Notamacropus eugenii: one gene and its partner. The main gene of each other region encodes a partner of the protein of the gene in region 2 in a complex. Links are inferred from orthologs where the notes say so. Each region holds a gene or a part of one and is shown on either strand. Other genes may lie near its edges.

The links. Proteins that work in one complex are often made in the same cells at the same time.
Region 1: PPP4R4 (region 2) and PPP4R3A share a complex: the UniProt entries of both Homo sapiens proteins name them as parts of the PP4 complex. The link is inferred for Notamacropus eugenii from reciprocal best matches to the Homo sapiens genes PPP4R4 and PPP4R3A.

What each region holds. Positions count from the first base shown.
Region 1 is NC_092878.1:35,222,646-35,229,966, reverse strand, and holds the start of PPP4R3A (serine/threonine-protein phosphatase 4 regulatory subunit 3A), read left to right. Parts: upstream 1-4,302; 5' UTR 4,303-4,451; coding exon 4,452-4,593; intron 4,594-7,321. UniProt on the Homo sapiens protein: Regulatory subunit of serine/threonine-protein phosphatase 4. May regulate the activity of PPP4C at centrosomal microtubule organizing centers.
Region 2 is NC_092878.1:35,497,773-35,505,193, reverse strand, and holds the start of PPP4R4 (serine/threonine-protein phosphatase 4 regulatory subunit 4), read left to right. Parts: upstream 1-4,409; 5' UTR 4,410-4,757; coding exon 4,758-4,874; intron 4,875-6,608; coding exon 6,609-6,682; intron 6,683-7,421. UniProt on the Homo sapiens protein: Putative regulatory subunit of serine/threonine-protein phosphatase 4.

The DNA of each region.
Region 1 (7,321 bases), about 280 kb from region 2:
GCTACTAGGCAAAGGGGGGTGGCTACTAGGCAAAGGGGGGCAGCTACTAGGCAAAGGAGGGTGGCTGCTAGGCAAGGGGGCACAACAGAAAGTGGCTACTAGGCAAAGGGGGGCAGCTGTTAGGCAAGGGAGGCCCAACCCTGCCTAGAAACTCAACAGACATTTCTCAACCCAGGGGCTCTGGGAGGGGGGGAGGAAATAACATCCACTTCACAAACAAAATGGAATCAACTAGAAAGAGAGGGTAACAAAATAATGAGAGTGTCAAGATGGTCCTTGCTCCTTAACCAATTCTTGATGGAACTGGAAAAAATAGTTTTGATGAATATTCTTTGATATTATTCAAAAGAGTCTGTTTATCATAATATAATAAAAGTTCCCATTATTATATAATCAGAAAGTCTAACATTTTAACAAAACATGGAAGTGCCATTTTCTGTGATTCTCACATTGCCCAGCAATCTCTGACTCCTTGGAAGTCAATAAAAATTCTAAACTTCTAAACAATAACATTAAAATACCATAATTTTAAATATTGGATATGAAGGGAACCAAGAAAGGTGGTGTGGCATTAATGAAAGTATAATGGATTCAGGAGCACAAGATATAGGTTTGAAATGTGCCTCTTGTTCTTATGAATGTAACACCCACTCTCTCCTAGGAAAGGTGGATGGTTTTCCTGAGCCCTGTGACATGTGTTGGTTCCGTTAGGAGACATGACTCCTGATTGGCTTAGAGAACAATGAGCCATGATACCATGAAAGGAGAAGGGATCTGCTTCAGTGTGCGGGACACACTTCCATGAGAGGACCTCAAGACCTGTTTAGGGAAGCAAGGCATGAACTTTTGAATGGCTAATGGGAGCCCCCAGAGCTGCAGACATGTGGGGAAGCTGGTCCCCATTACATCCCTTGATTTCCATGCTTGCAATGCTAGAGAGTGGACATCCCTTGGTAAGGATATTCCCACTCTCCTGGTTTGAGTTGAGATCTTCTCTCACTCCCAGATGAAGGGATCATTTACTTTTATGTATTCTTGTAGTATATTCCAATCTGCTTAATTTCTGTGATTTCTGTTTCCTACTTTCTTTGATAAAGAGGTTCACTATCTTTTCATGATGATCTTCTCAGTTATCAGCGTTTGGTGGGAAGGAGTCAGTTGGCAGGTGTAAGCGAAAGGCTATCCTTCCCCTCTGAGACTGACCAACAAAAGAGCTTTCAATCTGACTAGATCCCTTTGAATTATATCCCTAGATTAGAAATATCTGAGGAGTAGCAGATTGATATTCTAGTCCAATAACCCCCTTGCTAGAGGAGAGATCATCCAGTTTCAGCTATCTTGGATCCTCCTGCCTAGCTCTCCCCACCAACTAGGAAATTAGCAGTGCACAGTCCTCCACCTATTCTGTGTAAAGGTGGGTCAGACCTCAGATCATATCTATCCATACTACCTGTGAGTCTGTATGTTTAAATAGCCTTGTCTACACATACATATGTCTTATAGTAGTACTGTAGTACAATTCTTTTTCAGGTGTAGATGTAAGATGCAGAATGCTTGAGGTATATTGGTATATCCACACCGATCCCCACCCCTCCCACTAATGGATTATTTTATTATGGCAAACGGTGCAATAATGAGCCTCAGATACTTGGTAGCAGTATGACCCTGTCATTTAAATTCTGTCTGCCTCAGTTTCCTCCTCTATAAAACAGGGGTAATTAATAGTACTCACCCCCCAGGGTTGTTCTGAGGGTATAATGAGATCTTTGCAATGCCCTTTGCAAACCTTAAAGCAATATACTAAGTCTCTTTTTTTTTTTCCTCCAAATTCAGAGGCAGGCTAGGCGGCATACTCTGGAATATCCTCAGAAATAACTCAAAATTGGAGAAACTCTTTAATTAACTAGGCTCCTACCCCAGAATAAAACCAAGGAAATCTCTTCTCCCATAGACTAGCTTCCCCCTCTCAATCCCAAATCATGAACTCATACAATCTTAGACAAATCACTGTTTAATGTCATTTATTAGCAGTCTTAATTAAATCAGAAATGAGACATTTAAACAAAATATAGAAAACTACAGTGGAACTCAAAAGGTTACTAGTTTTCTCCCTCCTCCACCCTATTTCCAGCTAGTCTAAGGGGGACAGGTCTCTAAGGAAAGAGTTAAGATTTAAACGTAGGGTGAACTTTTCCCAGCTTCGACTCAGGTTTAAAAAAAAGGGGGGGGGGGGAAAGGAAGAAAGGATCTGTGCACTGGACTTCACTCTCAGCCACGACTGCCAGTGTGGACTGATCTTAGCTCCAGTTCCCTCCTGCCCTAATCCTACCTTGGTGGCTCTTGCTGCCTGCTGTATATACACTTACCACTCTTTCCTCTCTACCCTCCCTGTTTACTGCCCCAAAACTTGGGAAGAAGTTCCTTTTTCAAGGTCCCCTGAACCCCCAAACAAGCAGCTTTCCCCAATGCCTGTGAATAGTCCATCCCAAGAACTCTTCATCACCATAGGGAGGTGGCAAAGAATTATCTAGCGGTCCTGGGTCTCAGGGCCACGTTTCCTCATTCTTTTTTAAACATTGTTTCCAGTTTTGTACAGTCACTTCTGCATATCTTAGATCCCCCCTCCCTCCCTGAGACGGTGGTGTGCCATCTTCTATAGGGTCTACCCCTACACTCCTATTAAACGGTTTCCTCGTTCTTTAACCTGTAAGCACGTGTTAAGTGAAATAAAGCCCAGGTCGGGAGCCCGGACCTAGCTAGGACCTAGTCCCAGCTTTGCCAGGGGCCCGGGACCCGTTTGGGCCGGTCCTTTCACCTCCTGGTGAGGCAGAGGTAAAGTCCGGGGCCCCCTTGTCCCGACCCCCCTCGGTCTGCGTCCTTTCCAGCCCCCTCTCGGGGCAGGCCCACGAGCAGGTATCGGACACGTTCGGATCCGGCGAGGGCGCCGGAGGGCAGAAGAAATCCCCACCACGGATTCCTGTGCTCTCCATCGCCAGGACAGAAACCAGAGTTCTGCTTTTACCGCTTGCTTCAGTTATTAAGAAAGGGGGCAGGCAGACAGACAGACAGACAGAGACAGGGAGACAAGAGACCAGATTTCCTTTCCCGAACCACCTGAGGATCAGGAGCACCAAGCGCGGAAGAGAAAACAGCAGCTGCTTAAAAAAAAAAAAAAAAAAAAAAAAAAAAAGCCGTGGCCGGCCAAGGCGGGGCTGGGGGGAGGAGTCGGGATTTCATTGGCAGAAAGCGGGGAGGGGGGTGGTCCGTGTTCAGGCTCCAGGACCGCCCCCAGCCTCAGCCCGCGAGCGCACGTGGGTGGAGCTCCAGGCGGAGCCGCTGCCCGGACCCGGCTCGGGCGGGCTCTCCGCAGTTTGAAATTCATCTGCCAGGCTGATGACGTAGGCAGGGAGCGACGGGAGGCGGCTCGGCGCAGCCGGGCCCGAGGTTCAGCGCACCCGCGTGCGCGAGGAATCTCTAGGAAGTCCGGGCCCGTCACTAGGGCGACGGGGCTCCTTGGGCAGAGAGCTCCCCAGAGCAGTCGCGCTCGCTTCCGGTCTAGCCTCGGAAACACCAGTCCCGCCCTTTCCTCTCCCCTCCTTTTCCCTTCTCTCCCTCCCTCCCTCCCTCCTTCTGAATCTTCTCTACCCGGCCGGCGCCACTAACTGCGGTGCCTGTACCTTTAAATGGCGTGGCCTCGGCGCGGCCCCTGCAGCTGTGGGGTAGAAGACCCCGCGCGCCTCTATTGAGGGATGAACCAAGATGGCGGCTGCTTTGGTTCCGTGAGGGAGGAGGAAGAAGCGGCGGCGGCGGCCGAGAGGGGACCTGGCGTTGGGAAGGGCGCCCCAGGTACGACCGGGGGGGCCCTCGCCGTCTCTGGAGAAGCGGCGGGCGCAGGGGCACAGGCCGGGGGCGGACACGCTCGAGACCCGGAGAGCGCAGGGGAGCAGCGGAGCCGCCGGGGGCGGCCGCGGCGACGGGGCCCGGGTATGAGGAAGGAGAACATGGCGGCGGCCTGAGGCGGCGGCGGCTGGAAGCGGCTTGGCGAAGGAAGGGCATGGCGGAGGCGGGAGCAGGGCAGTGACCCGCGCCCGACGCCCGGTGGAGGCCATCGCTCCTCCGACCCCGTGGTGGGCAGCTGGGCCTGGACAATAGATCCGCGCAGGAGCAGCGGGGCAACGCTCGCGGGGGGCACGGCCGATCCAGACCCCGGCCCCCCTGGTGTCTCCCGCCCCCAACCCCGGCCTCCCGGGCCGTGACATGAGGGAGGAGGCCGCCGCGCGTGGGAGTGAAGGCCCCCTGCCGGGAGGCCGCGGTGCGCGGTGCTGAGCGGAGAGGGCCCCGTCGGTCCGGGCCTCCCGCCTCCCCTCCCCCTCCTGGGGCCCGCGGGGCGTCTCCCCCACCCTCACCCCTCACCCCCTCCCCGGGCGGTGGCTGCGGGGGGGGGCGGCAGGATGACCGACACCCGGAGACGGGTGAAGGTCTACACGCTCAACGAGGACCGGCAGTGGGACGACCGGGGCACCGGGCATGTGACCTCGGGCTACGTGGAGAGGCTGAAGGGCATGTCCCTGCTTGTCAGGGCGGAGAGCGACGGTGAGTGAGAGACCCCCCTCCGGCGTCCTCCCCTCGGAGGCAAGTTCAAGTCAACGGGGCGGGGGGTGCTGGAGCTTCTAGGGGGGACGGCCCGCCCTGGGCGCCGCGGGACCCCCGAGACTGCCCCGGGGAGAACGGGGCGGGTGGGGAGGGGGCTCCGTCAGGGAACCCCGCGAGTTAAGAATGAGGGGTCGCCCCCGAGTCGTTTCCATCCACACCCCCTCCCCCCAGTTCGAGCAACGTTTCCTTTCCCTCCCTCCCGAGGACCGGTGTGTTTGTGCTTTCCTACGTGTGAGAGGGGACCTGCGGCCGTGCTCCTGAGGCGCACAGGTGTGTGTGCGTGTGTGCGTGCGTGTGTGTGCGCGCCACTTGTGGCTGGGCTGCGGTCTGGGGCACTGAAGGCCGCTTCTCCTTCTCATAAATCAGGCGGTAGGCAGTTATGACTTGCTCCCGCTGTGTGCTGGACGCTACCGCCGAGGGCTGGACGTGCAGACCTTTCTGTGTTATGATGTTTGCAGGCACCGTGTTAAGCGCTGGAAACAGGAAGCAAAAGTTAGTGTTCCCAGATGCCGAGTTAGGCGTCAGGGAGTACTCTGCCCTCCAGGAGCTTGCTGTCTGAGGGGGGTTTTCATTCGAGTGACCTTGAGGGAGTCTTTTCATCACTTTTGTGATTGCTAGTTTGCCCATCAGCAAAACGGATATGTCGTTTTTACAAGGCGCTAAGAGATTCATGAGCTATTTCTTACTCTTTGGAGAACTCCCATAAGTGGATTTTGGAAATAGTACACACTTGAGCTCCAGTTTCATATCAACAAGAGTGGATAGGCTAACTTTGCATTTAATAAAAAAAATAATACTTTGATTTCAGAGACATGTGCTATTTTACTTTTCAGAGTAGTTTGTTGGTAATATTGTTCTTTGTCCAGAGAACTTCCTATAAGAGCTGATTAAATTGTTTTGTACTGGCCCTTTTTCTTGTTTAAACTATGGAAAACATGGCAAGATGGCTGACCTTGAAGTCTGGAGCTCCTGGGTTCAAGACCCATCTCTAACATGCTTAGTGACCCTGAGTAAAGTGCTTCATTGCTACTTACTCAATTTGAATAGTTCCACAGCCAGATTTTTTTCCAAATCATTTTTTGATGACTACTCTCCTCTGTGCTGTCCCTAAATTTCAGTGAGCTAAAGGGGGCAATCTGTGGTCATTGAAGATTAAGCTTCAAAATACATCTTCACACAAGTTTATAGTGAAGTATTTTTGAAACTAGAAAGTTCACTTTCCACTCAGTTTAAATGCAGTCAGGTCCCTCAAATGCCTTTTAAAAAATAATCACCAAAGAAGAAAAATGGCAAGGAAAAAACCACACATAAGTAAAAATTAACATATTTGAAGAAATTGAGAAAATTAACATGATGTAATAAAATTGTAAGACCAGAAAAAGAGGTTCAAGAAAGTAAAAGTCACATAGGTACTCATTTTAGAATTTAAAAAGCCTTCCCCTCCAAAAAAAAAATTTTTGGGAAGAAACTGAAGAAAAAAGGTAATGGAGCACATGATAGAAAAACCTCAAAAAACCAATACACTATGGAAAAGCTGATTTATGTGCAATACTTAACAATTGGATATACTGGCTTCAAAAAAAAAAATGTTTAAATTCTCAGAATCAAATGACAAACTCAAGGGATGCTTCACAAGCTGACAATTTGGGCATTACTGAAATCACAGAAAATTGAGAAAAAGAATATGAACACTTTCAAGAAATCTTCATAGAAAATTTCTCAGAAAAAGCAAATTCATACAGCAAAATAGAATCCATCGAACAATAAGGAAGGCTCCAAGATTTTTAAGCTTCAAAACTACAATGATATGAAAAAAATATTTCGAGATGCAAGGAGAAATATAGGAAATATCAGAATCATAGTAGAAATCATGGAGGATAAGGGATAGTTAGAGGAACTGGAATATAAGAATGTACGCAAAAAAAAACTAGAATTATTTGCCCAGTGAAACTTAGTACACTGTTTAAGGTATGAATTATCAGCATTTGAGAAGTATTCAGGCTTTTTTCAGTTTACAGTGAAACCTGTGGCTTTAAAGGAAATCTTAAAACAGTCAAATCTCAGCCAAAAAGGACAGATATTTAAAACACTCCTCAAATCAACACTGTTATGTTGAACCCTCAGTATCGTTTTGGATAATTACTGTTTCAGTAATGTGCTTCTGACAAAGGTATGCCCTTATTAATAAGACTAAAGAAGTTGGTTTAAAGTGTTTTTTTTTAATTTAATGTCAAATAATAAGAAAATGTATGTTCCCTTTCTATAGAATGGTTGAAGAAAAGGCAAACCTAACAATTTTATAATGCTAATAAATAAGAATGGATTAAGCTCTCCAATAAAATGAAGAAGTCACAGAATGGATTAAAAAACAGAATTCAACACTGTGTTTGTTCATTGGAAACAGTTAATCCAGAAAATCTGGAATCTGTAAGGAACTGACACATGTTTCTGTAAGACTTAATCACATTCCTCAGTGATCTAGGGATGTGACAGCAATTTTCGAAGATGAAAATACAAACTGGTTAACTACACAAAAAAATTCTTAAATTCCAATAACCAGAGAGATGCCTGTCTAGATGGCCTTGGAACACTACTTTGCATCCACTATAATAGAAAAGAATATTTGATTTGTTGGATGGGCTGTGGGGAAATGGCCGTTCATGTTGTT
Region 2 (7,421 bases):
TCCATTCAACTTTTGTCATGTCCCATCTCTCCACTCCCCGAAATTAGAGGAACCCTAAAGAGTGTGCTACTTGCTGTAACTTCCGGGAAGGCTGCCTGCAAGACCAACCCACCGCCTCTTTCCTATACCTATTACCAGGGCAACTGTCAGTACCACCTTGACATTCAAGCCCAAAAGCATGTTCTTGCACCCACATCCAGAGCTTCTGGGCTCACACCTATAATCAGCTCTTCGCTGCTACTTCTAGAAGCAACCTTACAGACAGCTCCCTGATTCCTCCTGCTCTGTCCCTCTACAAAACTCTCCCTCCCCCTACCTTATTCTGTCTTTCCTCGCCCACCTCTTCCCAGGAGACAAATGCACAATCTGCTCTCTGCATATATCATCACCTTTGGAGGCAAAAATCTGCCCCATTGTTGAATCAAAACCAAAAAAAAGCTACCCATACATGAGAAAAACACCTCTTTTCCAGTGGGTTAGGAGAGAAAGGGAAGAAGTAGAGAAGAAAAGGAGAAAGGGTGGGGGAGGGAGGGAGAGAGAGAGAGAGAGAGAGAGAGAGCAATGCATCTCTCTCCTTTGGGCACACTCAGGTGAAAAAGAGGACCTGGAAAGTAATAGAGAAAATTTCTAATCTGACCATTAAGAGAAATGTAACTTTATTTTCCACGTATGAAAACAGATCTTGTATAACTTTGGGTAAGTGCTTCCTAGTTTCTGGAAGTTCTTCTATTCTTCTCATTTCTTCATTTTTAAGATAAAAGGGTTATGATGATGATGATAATAATAGCCAGAATTTGTACAGATTTTAAGGTTTACAGAGCACTTTATAGATATATATATGATATATATGTATTTTATTTGATCCTCACCACAATTCCATGAGGTCTGTGCTATTATTATCATCCCTCTTTTTACAGATGAGAAAACTGGTTGAGACAGAGGTTAAGTGACTTGCCCAGGGTCACACTGCTAGTAAGTATCCGAGTCAGGATTTGCACTCAGGTTTTCTTGACTCCAAGCCTACCACTGCCTCACCTAGCTGAAGATAATCTTCAGATTTTAATGTAAGATTTACAGAGACTGATGAAAGAAAACAATTTCTGTGCTGAAAATTTTACAGTTCAACATGTCTATAAGTGAATTGAGTTTATATTTAAGTAGTTTGTTGTTCCGTTTCAGTCATGTCTCACTCTTTGTGACCCCATTTGAGGTTTTCTTGGCAAAGATACTGGAGTACTTTGCCATTTCCTTCTCCAGCTCACTTTACAGATAAGGAAACTGAGTCAAATGAGGTTAAGTGATTTGCCCCAGGGTCACACAGCTATTAAGTGTCTGAGGCTGACTTTGTCTAAGGAAGATGAGTTTTCCTGACTTCAGGTCCAGCACTCTATCCTGCACCACACCTAGTTGCCCTAAAATTTGCAATTAATATCTTTTCAGCTAGCTAGAAGAAACCTTCAAGTTAAGCCAACTCTCTTATTTTACAGATGAAGAAACTAAGTTCTGAGAGAGGGCACATCATTTACCTGAGGTCACACAGGTAGAGAGAGAGTCGAAAGGCTGGGATTTTCTTCTAACTTCAAATTCAGTGTTCCTTCTACTGGCACAATTCTGGCTCCCTTGAGGGCATCTAATACAACTTGTCACCTAGGCCTGGAGTTCCTTCTCTCATCTCTATGATTGTGGTATGGTGCCTTTGACTGAGTACCCCCAGTGACCAGGAACTCACTACTTTAAGAGGTAATCAAATGCACTATTGGACTATTCTCTAGCTAAGGAACTTCCTCCTTGTGGGAGATTAATGCAAAATGGGACTCTACTTCTTCAAGAAATTTTCTTTGCCAGGACCTCTCTTTTACCATTCACTTTATACTATACTCTTTTTCTCCATAGATCTACTTTCTACTATTGCCATATATGCACATGTTGTAACTCCCTTAATAGATTTATAAGCTCTTCAAGGTGGAGATGATGTCATATCTACCTTTTTATTCCCAACACTTAGCAACGTTTTTGCACATTGAATGGATATGTGTACATCCCTCTGTCTATAAAGATTGCAGCTGCGTGTCAGCTGAACTACGCATGACTACTGCAATGCATCCATGTGTGGTTTGTAGTCAGTATATTCATTTTCATACTGTATACAGCGATATGCCTGTTATTAAGATTTTTAAAACCTCAAAATGCTTTAGAAAGAACTGTCATTAGTTATTAGCACAGGGGAGAGCTGTATCTCCTTAAAGCAAAACCTCTATTGTCTTTTCACAAACAGATCATGCTTCAAGGTCATCCTTCTTGGTAGAGATCAAGTTATTTAGAGTTAAACAATATTCAGGGACACCATAGTGCCTGTTCATGTTTTGTTTTCCTATTTACCCATGCAGTTTGTTATGCTACTATTTTTGCCTTATACCTCTAAACTGCTGACATCTCTCCCTGTTTCCAAAAATTCTGATGCTCATCTTAGCCCTAATGAAAAAAGTTTTTTGATAGCATCCTAGTTCTTATAAACAACAGATTCTCATATCCGGAGCAGAGATAAGAAATATGATTATTCTGACATCTGCCACCCAATCTAGCTAATCACAACCTAGAATCCCTGGGAACTGAAAAATGAAACATTACCAACACACATCAGAGGAAGGACCTTTTCTGTATTCACAGGAAAAAGCTGGTGAGCCAATCTGGCACACTGCAACTCCCAGGAGCCATCTGGGAGTTACCACTCTTCATGAGCTAATCTCAAACCACTGGTCTCTGCAATGCCCAAATGACTGATGGAGGGCCAGCTGAAGGCTCAGAGGAACACAATATCATCCCATTTCTAGCTCTCCCAAAATCTTTTGGAGTTGCAAATAATATCCTTCAATGAACCTCATTAGGATATGTACATTCTGGGAGTGGCCTGTTATTTACCTCTCCAGGAATGGCAATTTATTATGAAACTAAAAGGAGAAAATAATTCCAAAGGGAAACTGATCAGATTTTCTTGTTTCTATAACAGAGAGACTCCCAAATAACACAGACCTTCTAATCCTGTACTGTTCTTGTCTAGGTCCTTCTAGAAGACCTTCGTAAAGAATCCAACCAATATGATGAAAGCCTTCCTTTGGTACTTTTTACAGTTTCATAGGTATTGGCATAGCACTTAGGTTGTTCATCCATCATTCTTCATTCTTGTTCCATTATTGGCTTATCCCCCTTTCTCACTATATAGGTCCTTGACAATTTTTCATTATTTCTTGATAATAACATATAATAATGATAACTAATACTTCTATAGCATTCTCAGATTTCCAAAGTGCTTTATGTTTGTTCTCTCTTTTGATCCTCACAACAACCCAGTGAAATAGGGTTATTATCCCCATATTGCCAAGGAGGAAACCAGGGCTGACAGAGGTATAAATCATTCATGATTAATATATTGCAACCTGCTTTCATCTACCATGCACCTTTCTGCTGTCCTTTGGGGTCACTTACATTAGTAATGCTTTTGACATTGTGTTCAGCCCTGCATCGTCCCAGACAGAACCTTGGTGTTAAAAAGATGAACTTTTGTGGCAGGGAGTTGTTTGGAATCATTGGAAGTTTTTTGAAATTTCCAGAAGGTCATACAGCCTCTATCCTCTTATGTGATCCTGGACCCAGGTCAATGTCCAAGATGTACGTTGTGGTTGTTGGGTCATTTTAGTTTGTGGCCCCATTTGGGGTGTTCTTGGCAAAGATACTAGAGTGGTTTGCCATTTCCTTCTCCAGTTCATTTTACAGATGAAGAAACTGGGGCAAACACAGGTTAAGTGATTTGCTCAGGATCACAACCCTAGTAAGTGTTTGAGACCAGATTCGAACTCAGGAAGAAGTCCTCCCTACTCCAGGCTCAGCATTCTATCTTCCCAGCTTGCACAGGGAAGGAACAATCTTCATCCACTTGGTTTTTCCAACGTAGATTGTCAGGTTAAACTCTTTTGAGGGCGTCCAGGTCTTTCAGAAGGTTCGGCCACTCCAAGGGTCCAATGCCATTAATCTATGTCACCTGCAAACACAAGGGACCTCTTCTTTCCAGGTTATCCTCCAATCTGGGGGGGAACACTTTTGGAGGAGCCCCGCCCCCCACCAAGTTCTCCTCCTCACAGTCCAAAACCTTCTCCTTCTCCTCCTCAGGTCCTTTCCCTTAATTTCTGAAAAGGAATGGACAATTCGCTTCTTAAGGAGAAAAGGGGGACTAGAGCAGAGAAAGAGCCCACTGCCAGTCCACCTAACCCAAAGGGGAGCAATAGGTGGGGAGAGGGAGGGGGAGTGGAAGGAGGAGTGGGAGGAATGGGCGGAGCCTCGGAGGAGGGAGGGAGTGGTACCTGTGACGTTGTCCCGGCGGTTGCGTGAGGACGCCACGCGACGTCACGGGAGGGGGCGGGGTTCTGGACGGACTAGGCGCCTGAGCTGCGCGGCTCTGGCTGTTTCTCTCCGCCCCCTGAGCCCTGCACACGCCCGCCCTCTTTCCTCTCTTCCTTCCCTCTTTCCCTCCTTCCCTCCCTCCCTTCGTCCCTCCCCCTTTCCTCCCCACAGCCCCTCCCCCTTTCTCCCTCCTCCCTCCCCCTCTCCCATTCAAGGGGAGGGGGGAGTCTGGGGCGGGGGAAAAAGGGAAAAAAAAAAGTAGGGGCTGGTGTCCCGGCCGGCGGGCTGGGCCCGAGAGTCCCCGGGGCTGGTCCGAGCCGGGCGGCGGCGGCGCAGGACGAGGAGGCGGCGGCCCGCCTTCCATGCCTCCGCTGCCGCTCTCCGCCGAGATGGATTTCAGTCAGAACAGCCTGTTCGGCTACATCGAGGACCTGCAGGAGCTCACCATCATCGAGAGGCCGGTGCGGCGGAGCCTCAAGGTACGGACGCCGGAGGGAGCCGGCCCCCGCCCCTGACCCCGTCCCGTGCCGTGCCGTCCGGGGGCTCCCCTCCTCCCCGGGGGTCCCGGAGACCAGGAGGCGGGGGAGGCGAGGGAGGCGAGCGAGGGGAAGGCACCCGACCCCGTCCCGCGCCGTCCGGGGGCTCCCCGGGGGTCCCTCCACCGCCTCCGCGTCTTCGCGGGGCTTCCCCGCAGAAGAGTCCGGGGTCTTATCCCACCTCCCCGCCGCCTCCCCTACATCTTCATGGGTTCCAGGAGATCAAGACGTGAGGGTGGGGAGAGCACCAGCCCCCCTCCCCATGCCACCCCATCCTATCCCATCGAGTCTTTGAGAGGCTCCCCCAGAGAAGTCTGGGGTGCCATCTTACTTCTCCGCCCCCCACCTCCCTTCATCTTCAGGGGTTCCAGTGAGGGGGGCAGAAAGCTCCTGCCCGGCTCCGTCCCATCCCCATCGGTGTTGGCACCCCTGCGTCTTCCCCTGACTCACGCAGAGAGCAGCAGGGATGGGGTCGGGATGATCACACTTCCCCAACCGTCCTCGGGGGCTCCAGCCGAAGGAGGGGTGTCGGTGCCCATCCCATCTGGGGTCCCACCTCTCCATCTCCAGGGGCACTGTCTGCTTCCCTGCCCTCCCCTCCCCCCTTCCCACAGTCATCCTCTGGGGCCGCAGGAGACTGGGGAAAAGAGAAGCCTTCCCATCCTCACTGCCCCGGGTTAGTCAGGGGCTCCTGAAGACCATCCCCCCGCCAGCTCCCCAGTAAGCCAAGGATTTAAGAAAACCAAACTTGGGGATGAAGAGAACTTGTCCTGCTTTCTCCCAGCTCATGCCCAGAGCACCTTTCCACGCCTCCTCTTCCCCCTCTCTGCCCCAGCAGTCAAGGGAAGGTGGGCACCTAGAAGGCATCTCCATCACCTCTCCTCCCATCCTACCTCCGCAGCCCCTCTCCTCACCCGCATTTCCCTGTAATTGCCCTATTATCAGTGGGGGTGGAAAAGTGAACTGCAGGTGGAGAGGGGAAGGTTAGAAAGAACTCGTTCCAGGTCCCGTCTCATGTCCCCAGCCCTCTCCGAACCCTCTTTGCCTTCTTTCCCCAGTGGTCGCTGGCCCCTCCAGGCGGGGAGGAAAGCCTGGATGCTTTGTGCAGGCTCTCCTCTTCCTTCTCCTCTAGCCCTTTTTCATTCTCTGGCCCCTGTTTGGTCTTCTTCCCACCTTTTCTTTGGGGGTCTCTAAGCAAAGGGAGCCTTTCCCGAGGGACCTATCCCCTTGCCTTCTTCCAGAGCCTCAGCAGCTGTGGGAGAAGGAGGGGAGTGGGCAGAATGAGTGGGGAGAAAACACTTGTCTCCGATTGCTACTGGCACTCCTTACACACCGGGAGCCCTTTCCTTTACTCCTCTCTTCCACCTCCCACATCCAGAAAGAGGAGACCTCGCAGAGAAGGTGAAGGAACACTCATACTTGAGAATGACTTCCCTTTTCAAGCCGTCATTCCTGTTTAATAAATAGTGGGGGAAAAAAGATTCTTCCTCCCTCCTTCCCTCAGTATTTGAAATTTGAAGTTCCTCTCTTCAATCCAAGCCCCTTGATAGGATCTCACTGATCTTTGTGGGAAGATAAAATTCCTTCTTAGTTTTTAGCATTTGGAGTGGTGGGGGAATGGGTTCCAGAGTTGACCCTGAGAAATTTTCTACATAATTTGTATTTCACATTTGACAGACACCAGAAGAAATAGAAAGGCTAACAGTTGATGAAGAACTCAATGATATTGAAAGGGCTGTTTATCTACTCAGGTATTTCCAAGTCTTACTGTCAAATTGCTGATCTTTTCCTCTGACAGCAGAAACCAATGTTTATCGAATTTGTTTGAGTAGCGCAGATTTACCAAATCAGTTGGCATACTGCTTTTTGAATACATTTTGTGCCTCGGTACATAAAAATTTCATCTAGGTATGTTTTCATGTATTTAATAATTTGTAAATAATGAAATCTATAAACAGTTTGTTAGAGTGAGATCCAGACATAGCTTCAAAGATCCACTATATAAACTGAGTTTAATTTCACTCTTTTCTTGTCTCCTGCATTTGCTTTTACAAGTCAGTGAGTTGCCATGGGAAAAAAGAGCATCTAGCAGCTGATATTATAATATTTATTGTAGCATGCCAATGATAAAAGCGTTTTCACTTTGATGACAGAATAAAGGAAATTATGTTACTGTTTAAATTCAGTATTTTATCACTTGAGATCCATGAGCTTGTGATAATCTTAATTGGAAATGTTGGTTGCTCCATAAACCTACTTTTTGACATTGAATCAAATCTTGAAATCTTGATATGTCTAGTATTTTATCTCACAGAGTTTCCTTACTGCATTTTTTCTTTAATTGTTTTGAGTGGTGGCAAGTTTCTTAGTTTTTCTTAAACTGTTTAAAGTTTATTTTTCTTTTAACAATATTAACATAGTGATGCTTAGAAAAAGTAACATTCATTTTGGAGTCAGAAGAACTGGGTTCAAATACAGCCTCTGATGCTT